Linked DNA regions of Anolis sagrei. The protein of the gene in region 1 purifies or fractionates together with the protein of each later gene. This does not show direct contact. Links are inferred from orthologs where the notes say so. Each region holds a gene or a part of one and is shown on either strand. Other genes may lie near its edges.

Region 1 (7,741 bases):
GTCATCCGCAAACCAGATCAACAATTGGGTCACACAGTTTACAGAAAACCTACACACACAGAGAGATATCTACAAGAAAAACTCCAACCATCACCCAAGTCAAAAAAGAAGCACCATTAAAGCCTTGGCAGACCGTGCAAAAAGAATCTGCAAATCCCACCTCCTCCAAGAGAAACTGAACCACCTAAACTGGGCTCTGCAGGCCAATGGATACTCCACCTCAGACATCAGAAAAGCTGCAAGACCGAGAACAAGCCACGAGAGTAAAGACGAAGATCCACTCAGAGGAAAAGTGTTCTTGCCATATATCAAGGGAACCACTGATTCCATAGGGAAGCTGATGAGGAAACACAACATGCAAACTATCTACAAGAGGGATCCTCTCACCTCTGCAGGAGTCTACCATATACCATGCAGCTGTGGACAAGTCTACATAGGGACCACCAAATGCAGTGTCACCCAAACATGAATCAAGGAACATGAAAGGCACTGCAGACTACTTCAACCAGAGAAGTCTGTCATAGCAGAGCACCTGCTGAACCAACCTGGACACAGCATATTATTTGAGAACACAGAAATGCTGGACCACTCTAACAACCACCATGTCAGGCTACACAGAGAAGCCATTGAAATCCACAAGCATGTGGACAATTTCAACAGAAAGGAAGAAACCATGAAAATGAACAAAATCTGGCTACCAGTACTAAAAAATCTCTAAAAAGTATCACAGTAAATAAAGAACAAAACTCAAACACAGAGGAACTCCATCCAGGAAACAATCAGGAACACCTGGTCACCTCTCAACAAAAGATTCTCCCAGGCAGTAACAAGCCACACCTAAAAACTTTTAGGCCATCAAATGTTAATCAGGATAGCCAATTGAAACATTCACACCTATCTCCAACAGACAAGAGTTCTTTCTCCCACCCTGGACTTTCCACAGATATATAAACCCAATTTTCCAGTTTCCATCAAACCTCACAACCTCTGAGGATGCTTGCCATAGATGCAGGAAAAACGTCAGGAGAGAATGCTTCTAGAATATGGCCATACAACCCAAAAAAACCTACAACAACCCAGCATAGCCTTCATTTAAAAGCACAACACTGGCAGAGTAAAAACGCACTACGGTTTAGCAGAGATATGGGATAGCTTGGTAATTTAAAAACAAAGTAGGCAGAGTTAAAGCTTACTTAATGATTGATCACAGCACTGCCTTTTAGCTTGCAAAGGAATACACATTCAGTATGCCAGAAAACAAAGACTCCACCATCAATTGCTTGATGTAACTTTAAGAGATTACCCACGAAACTTGTGCAAAAGGGATCACACAGGTACAGCATAATTTCATTGTAGATAATTAAAAAAGGTATAATCCACAGCTAGATAGTGCAAGGATAGATTTCGCCTCTGGTGGCATAGTGAATTAAAGCGCTGAGCTGCTGAACTTGCTTACCGAAAGGTCACAAGTTCGAATCTGGGGAGCGGCATGAGCTCCTGCTGTTAGCCCCAGCTTCTGCCAACCTAGCAGTTCGAAAATATGCAAATGTGAGTAGATCAATAGGTACCGCTCCGGCAGGAGGGTAACAGCACACCATGCAGTCATGCTGGCCACATGACCTTGGAGATGTCTATGGACAACGTCAGCTCTTCTGCTTAGAAATGGAGATGAACACCAACCCCCAGAATCGGACACGGCTAGACTTAATGTCAGGGGGAAATCTTTACCTTTACCCTAGATATCTCTAGCTTGTGCATAGGCTTAACAAAGGATCAGGCCACACACATGCAAGCTATAGCACTTGAAGGGACGATGGTCAGTCTTCTTCTGAGTGGACCCGAACATCTTTTTCAGACAAAGAAGCACCTCTCATTTTTTGACTTCAAAGAACTGCCTCAGTAAATAATAAATAAATAAATAAGTATTGTCGAAGGCTTTCATGGCCAGAATCACTGGGTTGTTGTAGGTTTTTTCGGGCTGTATGGCCATGGTCTAGAGGCATTCTCTCCTGACGTTTCGCCTGCACTTTGGCAAGCATCCTCAGAGGTAGTGAGGTCTGTTGGAACTGGGTAAAAGGGTTTATATATCTGTGGAATGACCAGGGTGAGACAAAGGACTCTTCTCTGCTGGAGCTAGATGTGAATGTTTCAACTGACCACCTTGATTAGCATACAATGGCCTGACTGCGCCTGGGGCAAACTTTTGTTGAGAGGTAATTAGATGTCCCTGCCTGCTTCCTCTCTGTTGTTGTGCTGTTGCAATTTTAGAGTTTTTTAATACTGGTAGCCAGATTTTGTTCATTTTCATGGTTTCCTCCTTTCTGTTGAAATTGTCCACATGCTTGTGGATTTCAATGGCTTCTCTGTGTAGTCTGACATGGTGGTTGTTGGTGTGGTCCCGCATTTCTGTGTTCTCAAATAATATGCTGTGTCCAGGCTGGTTCATCAGGTGCTCTGCTATGGCTGACTTCTCTGGTTGAAGTAGTCAGCAGTGCCTTTCATGTTCCTTGATTGGTGTTTGGGCAATGCTGCGTTTGGTGGTCCCTATGTAGACTTGTCCACAGCTGCAAATAAATAAGTGACATTCAGCGTGGCCACTTTCGAGAAAGTCCCCGAAGCCCACGCAATGCTAATTGGGGGTATCATAAAACTGACAGGGAAGGAAGTGAGGTAAGCCAGAAACATGGAGACAAGAGAACCATTTCAGTGTGCACGCAAGATTGTCAGTTTCCCAACAAATGGGGTTGGTGAGCCTCCTCAGCTTTTCCCAAAAACAACGCCAGATGCAGCGGCAGCGAGAAGAAAGGCGGTCCCAGTCTGGTCACGAGGAGCGGGAACTCCCTCCGCTGCCACTTGCTCTGGCAGCAGGCTCGTAGCCAGGATTTTGTTTTGGGGGGAGCTGAGTTTGATTGGGGGGGGGGGGCTAAGTCTGAGTGAAAGAGGGTCTACCTTATGTATCGTTGCCCCAATACCCCCCTTGCATATGAGATATATTGAGCATGGTGATCAGATCATGATATGAATAAACATAACAGTTTAAATAATGCACCAGTAAGGCCTTCTCGCGGACCACCCTGAGAATTTCGGGGGGGGGGGGGGCTTGGGGGGCTTCAGCTACATGCCTATCTGGCAGGGCTTCCTTCCCAGAGGTTGACAGTTGGAGGCTGGGCAGGCGGTGGGAGGGTTGGAGAGAGAAGCCTGACACGAGGGAAGAAGCTACAAACATCCCTTTTGGGGAGCGAAATGGGACTGGCTGCCCTGAAAGCAACTTGGGGCGCACCCACCAAGTCTGAATGCATTTCAAGTGTCACTGAAAGGAGATTCCACCTGAGCATCAGGAAGAACTTCCTGACTGTGGGAGCCGTTCAGCAGTGGAACTCTCTGCCCCGGAGTGTGGTGGAGGCTCCTTTGCCTCTGCTTTTAAGCAGAGGCTGGATGGCCATCTGTCTGGGGTGCTTTGAATGAGATTTTCCCGCTTCTTGAAAGGGGGTTGGACTAGATGGCCCACGAGGTCTCTTCCAGCTCTATGATTCTGGAGTTGTAGTTGGGTGAGGCAGAGAAAGCCCTTGTCAAACGACACCTCTCCTGATTCTATAGCACTGAGTCCCGGCACGGTGTGACAATGAAAGCGGTGCCAGGCTGTATGAATGTGTAAGACGCAGGCCCGTAGCCAGGATTTCGATTCGGGGGGGGGGGGGGGGCTGAGTCTGAGTGAAAGAGGGTCTGCCCTAGCAAACCTTTTGTATCGTTACCCCAATAGCCCCATGCAGGCATGTAGCGGGGGGGGGGGGGGGGGGCTCGGGGGGCTTCAGCCCCCCCCCCCGAAATTCTCATGGTGGTTCGCGAAAAGGCCTTCCTGGTGCATTATTTAAACTGTTATGTTTATTCATATCATGATCTGATCACCATACTCAATATATCCCATATGCATGGGGGTATTGGGGTAACGATACAAAAGGTTTGCTAGGCTAGACCCTCTTTCACTCAGACTCAGCCCCCCCCCCCCGAAACTCAGCTACCCCCCCCGAACCCCCCCCCCCTGATTTTTTTTAGCCCCCCCCCCCCCCCGAAACGAAATCCTGGCTACGGGCCTGACCCCATGAATATGGGATATATTGAGCATGGTGATCAGATCATGATATGAATAAACATAACAGTTTAAATAATACACCAGTAAGGCCTTTTCGCGGACCACCATGAGAATTTCGGGGGGGGGGGGGCTGAAGCCCCTCAAGCTCTTCCCCCCCGCTACATGCCTGGTAAGACTCCTTAGAAACCTCTGGCGCCCGAGGCATTCGAACAAGAGAGGGCGTCAAACTGGACTAATTTCGCCCTCCTTAGAAACCTCTGGCGCCTGAAGCGCTCAAACAAGGGAGGCGAGGCACGCGAGCGGGACTTGGCTGCCCAGCTTTCGACGCTTCCCGCGCTTTCCTTCCCCGCCCGATAGCTTTCCTCCCCGGTCCTTTCTGTGCGGAGGAGGGAGAGAGAGAGCGAGGAAGTCTCCCTTTCCCTCCCAGGCTCGAGTTGGGAGCCCCTCTGCCCTCCTTGCGAGTCTTCCCCTCCGTCCTGCCCTTTAAGGGGCCGCCCTCTCCTGGGCACCTATGGGAGGGGTCTGGGGGCGGGGCGAAGGGGAATTCGCCCTCTGTGGTTGGCTGGCTGCTGAAGAGGGGGGCGGTTCCCTTCCTCCCGGCGCTCAGGACCAGGCAGCGGCAGAAGCAGCAACAGCATCAGGCAGGCGGAGGGAGGCTTTGCTGGTCTTCCTGGCGCTGCTGCTGCTGCTGGCTTTGGCGTGGCGGCCCCGCCTTCGCTCGGAGCCAGGCAGCGCCGCTGCTGCCCCGCCGACCCTCGCTGGATCTTCCCCCCGCCGCTCAGTCTGGAGGAGGAGGAAGAGGAGGCAGCGACGGCGGCGGCGGGATGGGGCTCCGGGGGGAGAGCGCGCCCATTCTGCTGCTCTTCCTCTTACTCTTTGGTGAGTCTTTGCCTGGAGAGGTCTCTGGGTGGGTGGGCTTTCGGGCTTGGGCTCTGACCCCACTTGGAGGACCGAGGCGAAGGAAAAAGAAACACCACGAAGTTAGGAAGAGGTGCCTTTCCTTCTTTCCTTCCTTCCTTCCTTCTTTCCTTCCTTCCTTCCTCCTTTCTTTCCTTCCTTAAACCCTTTCCTCCTTTTTCTTTCTTTCCTTCCTTCCTTCCTTCTTGCCCTCTTTCCTTCCTTCCATTCTTTCTTTCTTTCCTCCCTCCTTTCTTTCTTTCCATCCTTCCTTCCTTCTTTCATTCTTTCCTTCCTTCCCTCCCTCCTCCCTTCCCTTCCCTTCTTCCTTCCTTCCTTCCTTCCTTCTTTCCTTCCTGCAAGCTATGTTCTTCTTGGAAGCCTGCTCCTCAGCCTTTCATTTTGAAAACATTGGTATTTATTTATATATCTTTCGTGTCAGAAGTGAGTTGAGGGTACAGTTGTAATGTATTTAGAAACACAAACAAAATTGAAAGCTAGGCATTATGCTAAATGCCCTTTGACCAGTAGCTGGCCACTTGGAGTGCCTCTGGGGTTGCTCTAAGGAGGTCCTCCATTGTGCATGTGGCAGGACTCAGACTGCATTGTAATAGGTGGTCTGTGGTTTGCTCTTCTACACACTTGAATGTTGTGCACTCCACTTTGTGGCCCCATTTCTTAAGGTTGGCTCTGCATCTCGTGGTGCCAGAGTGCAGTCTATTATTTATTTATTTATTTATTACTGCACTTATAGACTGCCGTTCTCAGCCCTAGGGCGACTCATGGCGGTGTACAACATATAAAACCAGGTACAATTTACAACATAAGCAATATCACATCAACAGTAAACAACAACACTATCAATAATACAGTTATACTAAATCATTCGCAACGTCTCATCATTGAATCACAATCCAAATCTCGTTATCCATGTTCCGTTCCAGTCGTCATTGCCAATTGTTGCCGCACTTACTCAAACGCCTTCTCAAACAACCACGTCTTTAGTCCCTTGTGGAATGTCATGAGGGAGGGCGCCAGTCTGATGTCCACAGCTCCTTTAGCTCCTTTCTGGTCTTCCACTCTTCTATGTATCCAGGAGGGAGTTTCTCATTCGGTCTCAGCCACTGATTGAGATGCTGGCTTTTATCCTGCCACTTTTGGACTCTTGCTTGCTGAGGTGTTCTTGCGAGTATATCTTTAGTTCTTAGGAAGCTGTTTCTTGATTTAAGACATTAATGTGCTGGTTGATATCTGAACAGAGGATGGGCCAGAGATGTCACTGCCTTGGTCCTTTCATTGCTGGCTGCTACTTCCCAGTGGATGTCAGGTGGTGCGATACCAGCTAAACAGTGTAATTTCTCTAGTGGTGTGGGGCGTAGACATCCTGTGATCATGCAGCATGTCTCATTAAGAGCCACACCCACTGTTTTAAAGGGATGAGATTATTTCACGCTGCGCATGTGTATTCAACAGCAAAGTAGCAAAGTGCAAGGGCAGATGTCTTAACTATATCTAGTTGTGGTCCTCAGGTTGTGCCAGTCAGCTTTCATATGATATTATTTCTAGCACCCACTTTTTTGTTTGATATTCAAGTTGTGCTTCTTAAACCACAGTCCAGAGTGACTCACCATGGGTGACAACCCCACTTCCTGAGGTCTGTTTCCCCAATCCATTCCCAGCTTAAGTGTTTTGAAGTACTGTAGGAGTTACTTGGGGCTCCAGAAAGGCAGAGCGTACTCTTCTCATGCTTGCATAGCACTGGCCAAGGCTGCATCTATATCAGGCATGGGCTGTTAGCCTGGCTGTTAGGAATTGTGGAAGTTGAAGTCCAGAATACCTGGAGGGCCAAAGTTGGCCCATGCCTGATCTCCATTGTTGAATGAGTGCACTTTGACATCACTTGGACTAAAGGCCATGACTGAATGCTATGTAGTCTGGTGAGGTACCAGCACTCTTTCCCAGCGAAGGCTTAAAATCTTGTGAAAGTCCCATGATTCCATAGCATTCAGTATTCAAAGTGGTGTCAAACTGCATTCATTCTACAGTGTAAATGCACCCTTAGCCTCAGATGGAGTTCCTGGGAGAAATAACACACACACACAGACACCCACCCACACACACACACACACACATGGGGACTGAGGATACTCTAATTTAAGTTCTTCCCTTTGTGCCTTTTATTTTGCATGCTGTTTCCAAAACTGAAGAATGCTGAAGAATTCAGGGTCTGAGTTGTTTTGATTTCAGACTGCATTAAATTTATAGTGCAAATATATCCTATGTCAAGGGTTAGGGGAGATCCCCACACATATTGCATGTGTTTCTAAATAGCAGATGTTGTCCTGTACTATGACAAAACTTGAGACCTGTTAACCTCATGTTGAGGGTGGCATTGCTATTCCGAAAGTTATGCAGGCAGGTTCGGGTCTCTGAAAAAGGCAAGCCTAGAAGAGAAGGGACCTCCGTTGTAGTCCAGTTTAACTCCTTGCCATTGAAGAGGTAGTGAAGCTGTGTGGATTTTTTTTCAGCCTTGGAGCCACACAAGGTCTGTTTTTCCAGCTCACTTGGCAGCCCTGGATCAGGAATCCTTAGCCTGACTTCTTGTAGGAATGTTGCCTTCTCTCGCCCTCTCCCAGGTTGAGGTGTGAAGCTATTTAATGATTGCGAACTTTGCAGCCGAAAGTGTGAGTGCTTTAATGCTTTGGAAAAGCGTCTGCTTTCATTGTTCATGCTCAGTGCTTTGACTAAAGCCTC
Region 2 (8,084 bases), on another chromosome or scaffold:
GTTTTTATGTATGTATCTCAGTGTGCATAGGTTTTCTGTAAACTGTGTGGCACAATTGTTGATTTGATTTGTGTAGGAGCCCCCAGTGGCACAGTGGGTTAAAGCGCTGAGCTGCTGAGCTTGTTGACCGAAAGGTCGCAGGTTCGAATCCGGGAAGCAGCATCAAATCCACTATCAGCCCCAGCTTCTGCGAACCTAGCAGTTGGAAAACATGCAAATGTGAGTAGATCAATAGGTACCGCTCCGGCAGTAAGATAACGGCACCCCATGCAGTCATGCTGGCCACATGACCTTGAAGGTGTCTATGGACAATGCCGGCTCTTCGGCTTAGAAATGGAGATGAGCACCACACCCCAGAGTTGGACATGACTGGACTTCATGTCAGGGGAAAACCTTTACCTTTACCTAGGATATCTAGAATTTTTTTCCTTCATTTTCTTTTTCCATGGCAAATTAGATGTTTGGGTGGATGCTGTTGATGTGGTGCAGTAATGGACTGGATGATGGCAAACAAATTGAAACTTAATCCAAATAAGACAGAGGTGCTCCTGGTCAGTCAGAAAGCAGATTAAGAAATAGGGATCCAGCCTGTGCTAGATGGGGTCACACTGCTCCTGAAGGTACGTGTTCGCAGTTTGGGGGTCCTCTTGGACTTGGCACTGAACCTGGAGGCCCAGGTGATGGAGGTGGCCAGGAGGGCCTTTGCACAATGAGAACTTGTGCATCAACTGCGCCTGTTCCTTGGGAAGCAAGGTCTGGCCACAGTGGCACACACCTTTGTTGCATCTCGTTTGGATTACTGCAATGCACTCTACATGGGGCTGCCTCTGAAAAGTGCTCAGAAACTTCAGCTGGTCCAAAGAGCTGCAGCCAGATTGCTAACTGGTGCTGGCTATAGGGAGTGGACAACCCCCTGTTGCAGCAGCTTCTCTGGCTGCCAGTCTGTTTCCGGGCACAATTGAAAGTGTTGGTTATGACCTTTAAAGCCCTAGATCAGGGGTCCCCAAACTACGGCCCGCGGGCCACTTCCGGCCCGCCAAGGGCCCTGATCCGGCCCGCGGAGGAGGAGCGCCCCCCCCCCCCACACAGTGCCCCTCCTTTGGCTGGCTCACGCTATCTGTTAGGCCCGATGGACAGCGCGAGCCAGCCAAGGGAGGCTGCTCCGCATGGTCTACTCGCGCGTAAAGCACCTCGCGAGGTGCTTTACGCGCAAGTAGACCACGCGGAGCAGCCTCCCTTGGCAGGCTCACGTTGTCCATCGGGCCTGATGGAAAGCCTGAGCCAGCCAAGGGAGGCTGCTCCGCGTGGTCTACTTGCGTGTAAAGCACCTCGCGAGGTGCTTTACTCGCAAGTAAGCCGCGCGGGCCTGCTCCTCCCTTGGCAGGCTCGCGCTGTGCATCGGGCCTGAGCCAGGCAAGGGAGCCTGAGCCAGCCAAGGGAGGCTGCTCCGCGTGGTCTACTTGCGCGTAAAGCACCTCGCGAGGCGCTTTACACGCAAGTAGACCACGCAGAGCAGCCTCCCTTACTCGCAAGTAAGCCGCGCGGGCCTGCTCCTCCCTTGGCAGGCCCGATGGACAGCGTGAGCCAGCCAAGGGAGGCTGCTCCGCGTGGTCTACTTGCGCGTAAAGCACCTCGCGAGGTGCTTTACTCGCAAGTAAGCCGCGCGGGCCTGCTCCTCCCTTGGCAGGCTCACGCTGTCCAAGGGAGGCTGCCCTGGTGCTCCATGCAGTCATGCTGGCCACATGACCTTGGAGGTGTCTACAGACAACGCTGGCTCTTCGACTTAGAAATCCAGATGAGCACCACACCCCAGAGTCAGACACGACTGGACTTCATGTCAGAGGAAAACCTTTAACCAGGAAAATCTTGGAAGATCCAGGGTGGGAGAAAGAACTCTTGTCTGTTGGAGGTAGGTATGAATGTTTCAATTGGCCACCTTGATTGCCATTTCATAGCCTGACAGTTTTTAGGGAGAATCCTTTGTTGAGAGGTGATTAGCTGGCCCTGATTGTTTCTTGTCTGGAGTTCCCCTGTGTTTGAGTATTGTTATTTATTTACAGTTATAATTTTAGATTTTGTTCAGACTGGAAATAGGAAGATTTCCCATTCTCTTCTCCTGGAATTGCTGTCTAAAGAGGGCTAGAAAGAACCCCCTCTAAGGGTCCTTCCACACAGCAAAATAAGATATGTGCAATGTGCATAGGAATTTTTTAATTGATTTTTTTTAAAAAACTATAGTCCGGCCCTCCATCGGTCTGAGGGACAGTAAACTGGCCCCCGGTTTAAAAAGTTTGAGGACCCCTGCCCTAGATGGTCCAAGTTTAGGTATTTGACTGACCACATCTCCTTGTGTGAACCTGCCCAGTCCTTGAGATCTTCAGGAGAGGCCCTTCTCTTGGTCCTACCTCCATCTCAAGCACAGTCGGTGGGAACGAGAGAGCAGGCCTTTTTTCTCAGTGGCTGTCCTTCAACTCTGGAACCCCTGCCCAGGGAAGCCAAAATGGCCCCTTCTCTTCTGTTCCTTCCAGCGGCAGACTAAAACCTTTTTATTCAGGCAGGCTTTTAAATATGAAGGTGTTTAAGGCAGGGGGTGCTGTGGATTTATATGCTTTTATGGTTTTAACTTCAATTGGTTTTAATATGAATTATGCTTAATATTATTTTCATATTTGTATATTGTATATTTTAAGTTGTATCGTAATACTTTTAATTGTGAGCCACTTTGAGTCTCCATATGAAGAGAAAAGGTAAGATATAAGTAAACATAACATGCTGCCTAAAAAACTCACAGCAACCCGGCATTATTTTCATTAAGGAAAATTACAAACTCAGGGCCTAGAGACTGGTGGAAATAATAGTACTCCCCTCAGCCACAGAAAATGAAGTTTCTGGAGTATAACAACTACTTTCAAAGTAAGTACCGCACAATTTAACAAGAAATAACACTTTCAAAGCAGGTGAAAGCTTCTCTGGGACCAAAGGGAAAAGCAGTCTTTCTGGAGCCCAGCAAACAGTCCCAGTGTAAGTGGGAGGGGAGGGGAAAGAGAGAGAGGGAAGAAGAGGGAAAGAGAGGAAAAAAGAGAGGGGGAGAAGGGGAGAGACAGAAGAGTGAGTGAGGGGGAGGGGGTCAGAGAGAGAGAACAGAGGGAGGGAGGGAGGAGAGAGAAAAGGAGGGGGAGAGAGATGAGAGAGGAAGAGAGGGAGGGGTGAGAGAGAGGGGGAGGGAAGGAAGGAAGGGGAGAGTGAGGAGGGGAGAGGGAAGAAGAAGGGGAGAGGGAAGGGTGAGAGAGGGAGGGGTAGAGGGAAGAAAGAAGAGAAGGAAGGGGAGAGAGAAGAAGAGAGGGGGAGAGTGAGGTGCTAGAGAGAGGAGGGGAGTGGAAGAAGAGAGAGGGGGAGATGGAGAAAGAAGGGAGAGGGAGGGGTGAGAGAAGGAAGGGTAGAGGGAAGAAAGAAGAGAAGGAAGGGGAGGGAGAAGAAGAGAGAGGGAGAGTGAGAGAGGAGGGAGGGAGGGGGAGTGGAAGAAGAGAGAGAGGGAGAGAGAAAAAGAGAGGGGGGTGAGGGGCCAGAGAGGAGGGAAGAAGGGAGAGGGAGGGGGAGAGAGGGGGGAATGGGAAAAGAGAGGGAGGGAGATAAAGAAGGGGAGAGGGAGGGGGAGAGAGAGGGGGGAGTAGGAAAGAGAGAGAGAGAGATAGCAGGGGGAGAGAAGAGAGGGAGGGGGGAGAGACAGAAGAGAGGTGGAGTGAGAGGGTCAGGGAGAAAGAGAGAATAGAGAGGGGAGAGGGAAGTGGGAGGGATGGGAAAAGGGAGAGAGAGGGAGGGAGGGGAGAGAAAAGGAGGGGAGAGGGAAGAGAGTGGGAGAGAGTAAAGGGCCAGAGAGATGAGGGAGTAAGGGGCGAGAGAGAGGAGGGAGCGAAGGAGGGGGAGAGGGAGGAGGGGAGAGGGAGGGAGAAAGGGACAAAGAAGGGGAGAGGGAGGGGTAGAGGGAAGAAAGAAGAGAAGGAAGGGGAGATAGAAGAAGAGAGGGGGAGAGTGAGGTCCCAGAGAGGAGGGAGGGGGTGAGAGAGAGGGAAGAAGAGAGAGACATGGAGAAAAAAGGGGAGAGGGAGGGGGTGAGAGGGGGGTAGAGGGAAGAAAGAAGAGAAGGAAGGGGGAGAGAAAAAGGGGCAGAGAGAGAGGGGAAGAAGGGAGAGGGAGGGGGGAGAGAGGGGGGAGTGGGAAAAGAGAGGGAGGGAGTTAAAGAAGGGGAGAGAGGGGGGAGAGGGGGAGTGGGCAAAGAGAGAGAGGGAGATAGAAGGGGAGAGGGAGGGGGAGAGAAGAGAGGGGGAAGACAGAAGAGAGAGGGAGGGAGGGGGTCAGGGAGAAAGAGAAAATAGGGGGAGAGGGAGGGGAGGGAGGGATGGGAAAAGTGAGAGAGAGGGAGGGGAGAGAGAGAAGAGAGGGAGGGGAGAGAAGAGAGGGAGGGAGAATAAAGGGCCAGAGAGATAGAGGGGGAGAAGAGAGGGGGGGAGAGGCAGAAAGAAGGAGAGAGAGAAGAAGAGAGGGGGAGAGAAGAGAGGGAGGTGTAGAGGGAAGAAAGAAGAGAAGGAAGGGGGGAGAGGGGAAGAGTGAGGAGGAGGAGAGGAAGAAAGAAGAGAGGGAAGAGTGGGGAGAGAACAGAGAGAGAGGGAGAGATGAGGGAAGGGCGAGAGCGGGGCCCGCAGGCCTGGCGTGACGCCGGCGAGGGCGGGCGGAGGAGCCCAGGGAGCGGCCCTGGGGGCCGGGGTGGAGCCCGCGACGAGCCGGTCTGAGGAGTGGCCCTAGGGAGCGCCTTTCCCTGCCGGGGCTGCTCAGACGCGCCTCCCGCCTCGCCACGCAGAGAAGCACCGCCGCTCCCGCTGCCTTCGAGTCGCCGCCATGCCCGTCAAGGGGGGCACCAAGTGCATCAAGTACCTGCTCTTCGGCTTCAACTTCGTCTTCTGGGTGAGTCCCCAGCACTGAGAGCAGGCTCGCCTCAGCCGCCGCTCACCTGGGCAAAGAAACTCTCCCCTCCCCTCCCCCGCCCGGTCGAAAACCGAGCGCGAGCCCCTTCTCCGAACCCTTCCGAAGCGTTCCGAGTGAGGCTTTTTTTCCCCTCCTTTCCGAAGAGGCATTTGCTAGGGAACTCTAAATGCAGAAGGAACTTTAGCGCGCGCGCTCTCCACCGAGTAGAAGCCGCCCTGGTTGGCTTCTTTGAGGCAAAAAAAGCAAGAAAGCCCCGGATGGTGGGCACGCGGACCCCCCCCCCCCTTCTTCTCCCTTCCCAACCTCCCAGGTGCCTGGCTCCTTGGAAGGTGAAGCCACAGTAGTGCGTTCCCATCAAAATACTGTAATACTCCAATAATAATAGTTGGTAGAGACCCCATGGGCCATCTAATCCAACTCCTTGCCATGCAGGATAAGCACAAAGTACTCCTGACAGATGGCCATCCAGCCTCTTTAAAAAAAAAAAAAACCTCTAAAATCAGGACAGTAAATAAAGAGCAACACTCCAAAAGCAGGGGAATTCCAGACAAGAATCAATCATAGCCAGCTAACACCTCCCAATAAAGGATTCCACCAAGCAGCAACCAGCCAGGCTTTGAAGCTGCAATGCCATTAAAAGTAGTCAGTTACAACATTCACACCTGCCTCAAACAGACAAGCGTTCTTTCTCCCACTCTGGATATTCCACAGATATATAAACACAGATATGGAGCCCCCAAGATGCAGTGGGTTAAAGCGCTGAGCTTGTTGACTGAAAGGTCGCAGGTTCGAATCTGGGGAGCGGCGTGAGCTTCCGCTGTCAGCCCCGGCTTCTGCCAACCTAGCAGTTCGAAAACATGCAAATGTGAGTAGATCAATAGGTACTGCTCCAGCGGGAAGGTAACAGCGTTCCATGCAGTCATGCCGGCCACATGACCTTGGAGGTGTCTATGGACAACGCTGGCTCTTCAGCTTAGAATGGAGATGAGCACCACACATGAGCTTCCACTGTCAGCCCTAGCTTCTGCCAACCTAGCAGTTCGGAAACATGCAAATGTGAGTAGATCAATAGGTACCACTCCGGCGGGAAGGTAACGGCATTCCATGCAGTCATGCCAGCCACATGACCTTGGAGGTGTCTACAGACAACGCTGGCTCTTCAGCTTAGAAATGGAGATGAGCACCACACCCCAGAGTTGGAGACCACTGGACTTCATGTCAGGGGGAAACCTTTACCTTTACTATAAACCCCACTTGCCTAGTTTAGACCTCACAACCTCTGAGGATGCCTGCCATAGATGTAGGTGAAATGTCAGGAAAGAATGTTTCCAGAACATGGCCGTACAGCCCAGAAAACTCACAGTAACTCATCCAGCCTCTGTTTAAAAGCTTCCAAGTAAGGAGCCTCCACTATACTCCGAGGCAGAGAGTTCCACTGTTGAACAGCTTTTCCAGGGCCTTTCCACACAGCCATATAATCCAGACTATCAAGTCAGATAATCCACAATATCTATTTTGCACTGGATTGTCTTTGTCTTATGTTTGTTATAACAGGCTGTGCTTTTTATTTAATTTTAGTTTGTTAAGTTACAATTCGCATTAATATGTTGGGTTGTATAAATTTTGTTATTATGGATGTATTGTTGTTGTATTTAGGCATTGAATGTTTGCCTTTTATGTTTGGAATCTGCCCTGAGTCCCTCTGGGGAGACAGAGCAGAGTATAAATAAAGTTTTGTTATATTACTAGCCATCTCCTGCCACGTGTTGCTGTGGCCCAATCTGGTGATCTCAAAAATAAAGTAATGAGAAAGTGTTGATTTCTAATATATGTAATTTCTTTTTGCTTGTGGGTAAACAGTATTACTTGCTGTTTCTTTGTCAGTGTTGATGTGGAGAGTGTCTGGTTTGCCCACCCTGGAACATGGAACATATTATTGTCCTTTAGGGATCCCTTTCAAATCTATGATATTATATCTGTCATATACATATATATGTGTATGTGTGTGTGAATCAAATATACCTATCTATATCTATGGCTAGATGGTTCTTTGTCAAGAGGGCTTTGATTATGTTTTCTTGTCCTGGTGAAGGGTGTTGGACTGGATGGTCTTAAGGCAGTATATCTCAATTTGGGGGTCACAAGGGGGGTGTTATAGGGATGAGGTCTGTCTACAGTGAAATAGAGTGGGACTGTGACTTTCCTCGGTCTAGACACTATATTCCTGTTGATGTATCCTAGAAGCATATTGGCTTTTTTAGCTGCCACATCTTTCTATTGCAATGTTTCTCAACCTGGGGGTCAGGACCCCTGGAAGGGTTGCGAGGGGGCATCAGAGGGGTCACCAAAGACCATCAGAAAACACAGTATTTTCTGTTGTTCACGGGGGTTCTGTGTGCCAGGTTTGGCCCAATGCTATCGTTGGTGGAGTTCAGAATACTCTTTGATTGTAGGTGAACTATAAATCCCAGTAACTACAACTCCCAAATGTCAAGGTCTATTTTCCCCTAACTCCATCTGTGTTCACATTTGGGCATATGGAGAATTTGTGCCAAGTTTGGTCCAGATCCATCACTGTTTGACTCCACAGTGCTCTCTGGATGTAGGTGAACTACAACTCCCAAACTCAAGGTCAATGCCCACCAAACCCTTGTAGTATTTTCTGTTGGTCATGGGAGTCCTGTGTGCCACGTTTGGTTCAATTCCATCATTGGTGGAGTTCAGAATGCTCTTTGATTGTAGGTGAACTATAAATCCCAGCAACTATAACTCCCAGATGTCAAAATCAGTTTTTTTAGTGATGGTCACTCCTTGGGTTATTAGGTGTCTTGTGTCCAAATTTGGCGGCAATTTGTCCAGCGGTTTTTGAGTTATGTTAGTCCCACAAACAAACATTACATTGTTATTTATATAGATGATGATGATGATGATGATGATGATGATGATGATTATTATTATTATCTGCCATATAGTCCAATTCAATGCCACCTTCTGGACACCTTCCAGCTTGTCTATATCTCTTTTGAACTGTGGTGCCCAGCAGTGGACAGTATTCCAGTTGAGGTCTAACCAAAGCGGAATAGAGAGGGACCATGACTTCCCTC

Evidence for each region. Proteins that work in one complex are often made in the same cells at the same time.
Region 2: the proteins of PTGFRN (region 1) and CD9 purify together in Homo sapiens (co-immunoprecipitation; 8 studies listed by BioGRID and IntAct, with this or other methods). This does not show direct contact. The link is inferred for Anolis sagrei from reciprocal best matches to the Homo sapiens genes PTGFRN and CD9.

Annotation. Positions count from the first base shown.
Region 1 is NC_090023.1:52,387,152-52,394,892, forward strand, and holds the start of PTGFRN (prostaglandin F2 receptor negative regulator), read left to right. Parts: upstream 1-4,628; 5' UTR 4,629-4,914; coding exon 4,915-4,969; intron 4,970-7,741. UniProt on the Homo sapiens protein: Inhibits the binding of prostaglandin F2-alpha (PGF2-alpha) to its specific FP receptor, by decreasing the receptor number rather than the affinity constant. Functional coupling with the prostaglandin F2-alpha receptor seems to occur.
Region 2 is NC_090025.1:103,253,013-103,261,096, reverse strand, and holds the start of CD9 (CD9 antigen), read left to right. Parts: upstream 1-4,770; 5' UTR 4,771-4,893; coding exon 4,894-4,959; intron 4,960-8,084. UniProt on the Homo sapiens protein: Integral membrane protein associated with integrins, which regulates different processes, such as sperm-egg fusion, platelet activation and aggregation, and cell adhesion.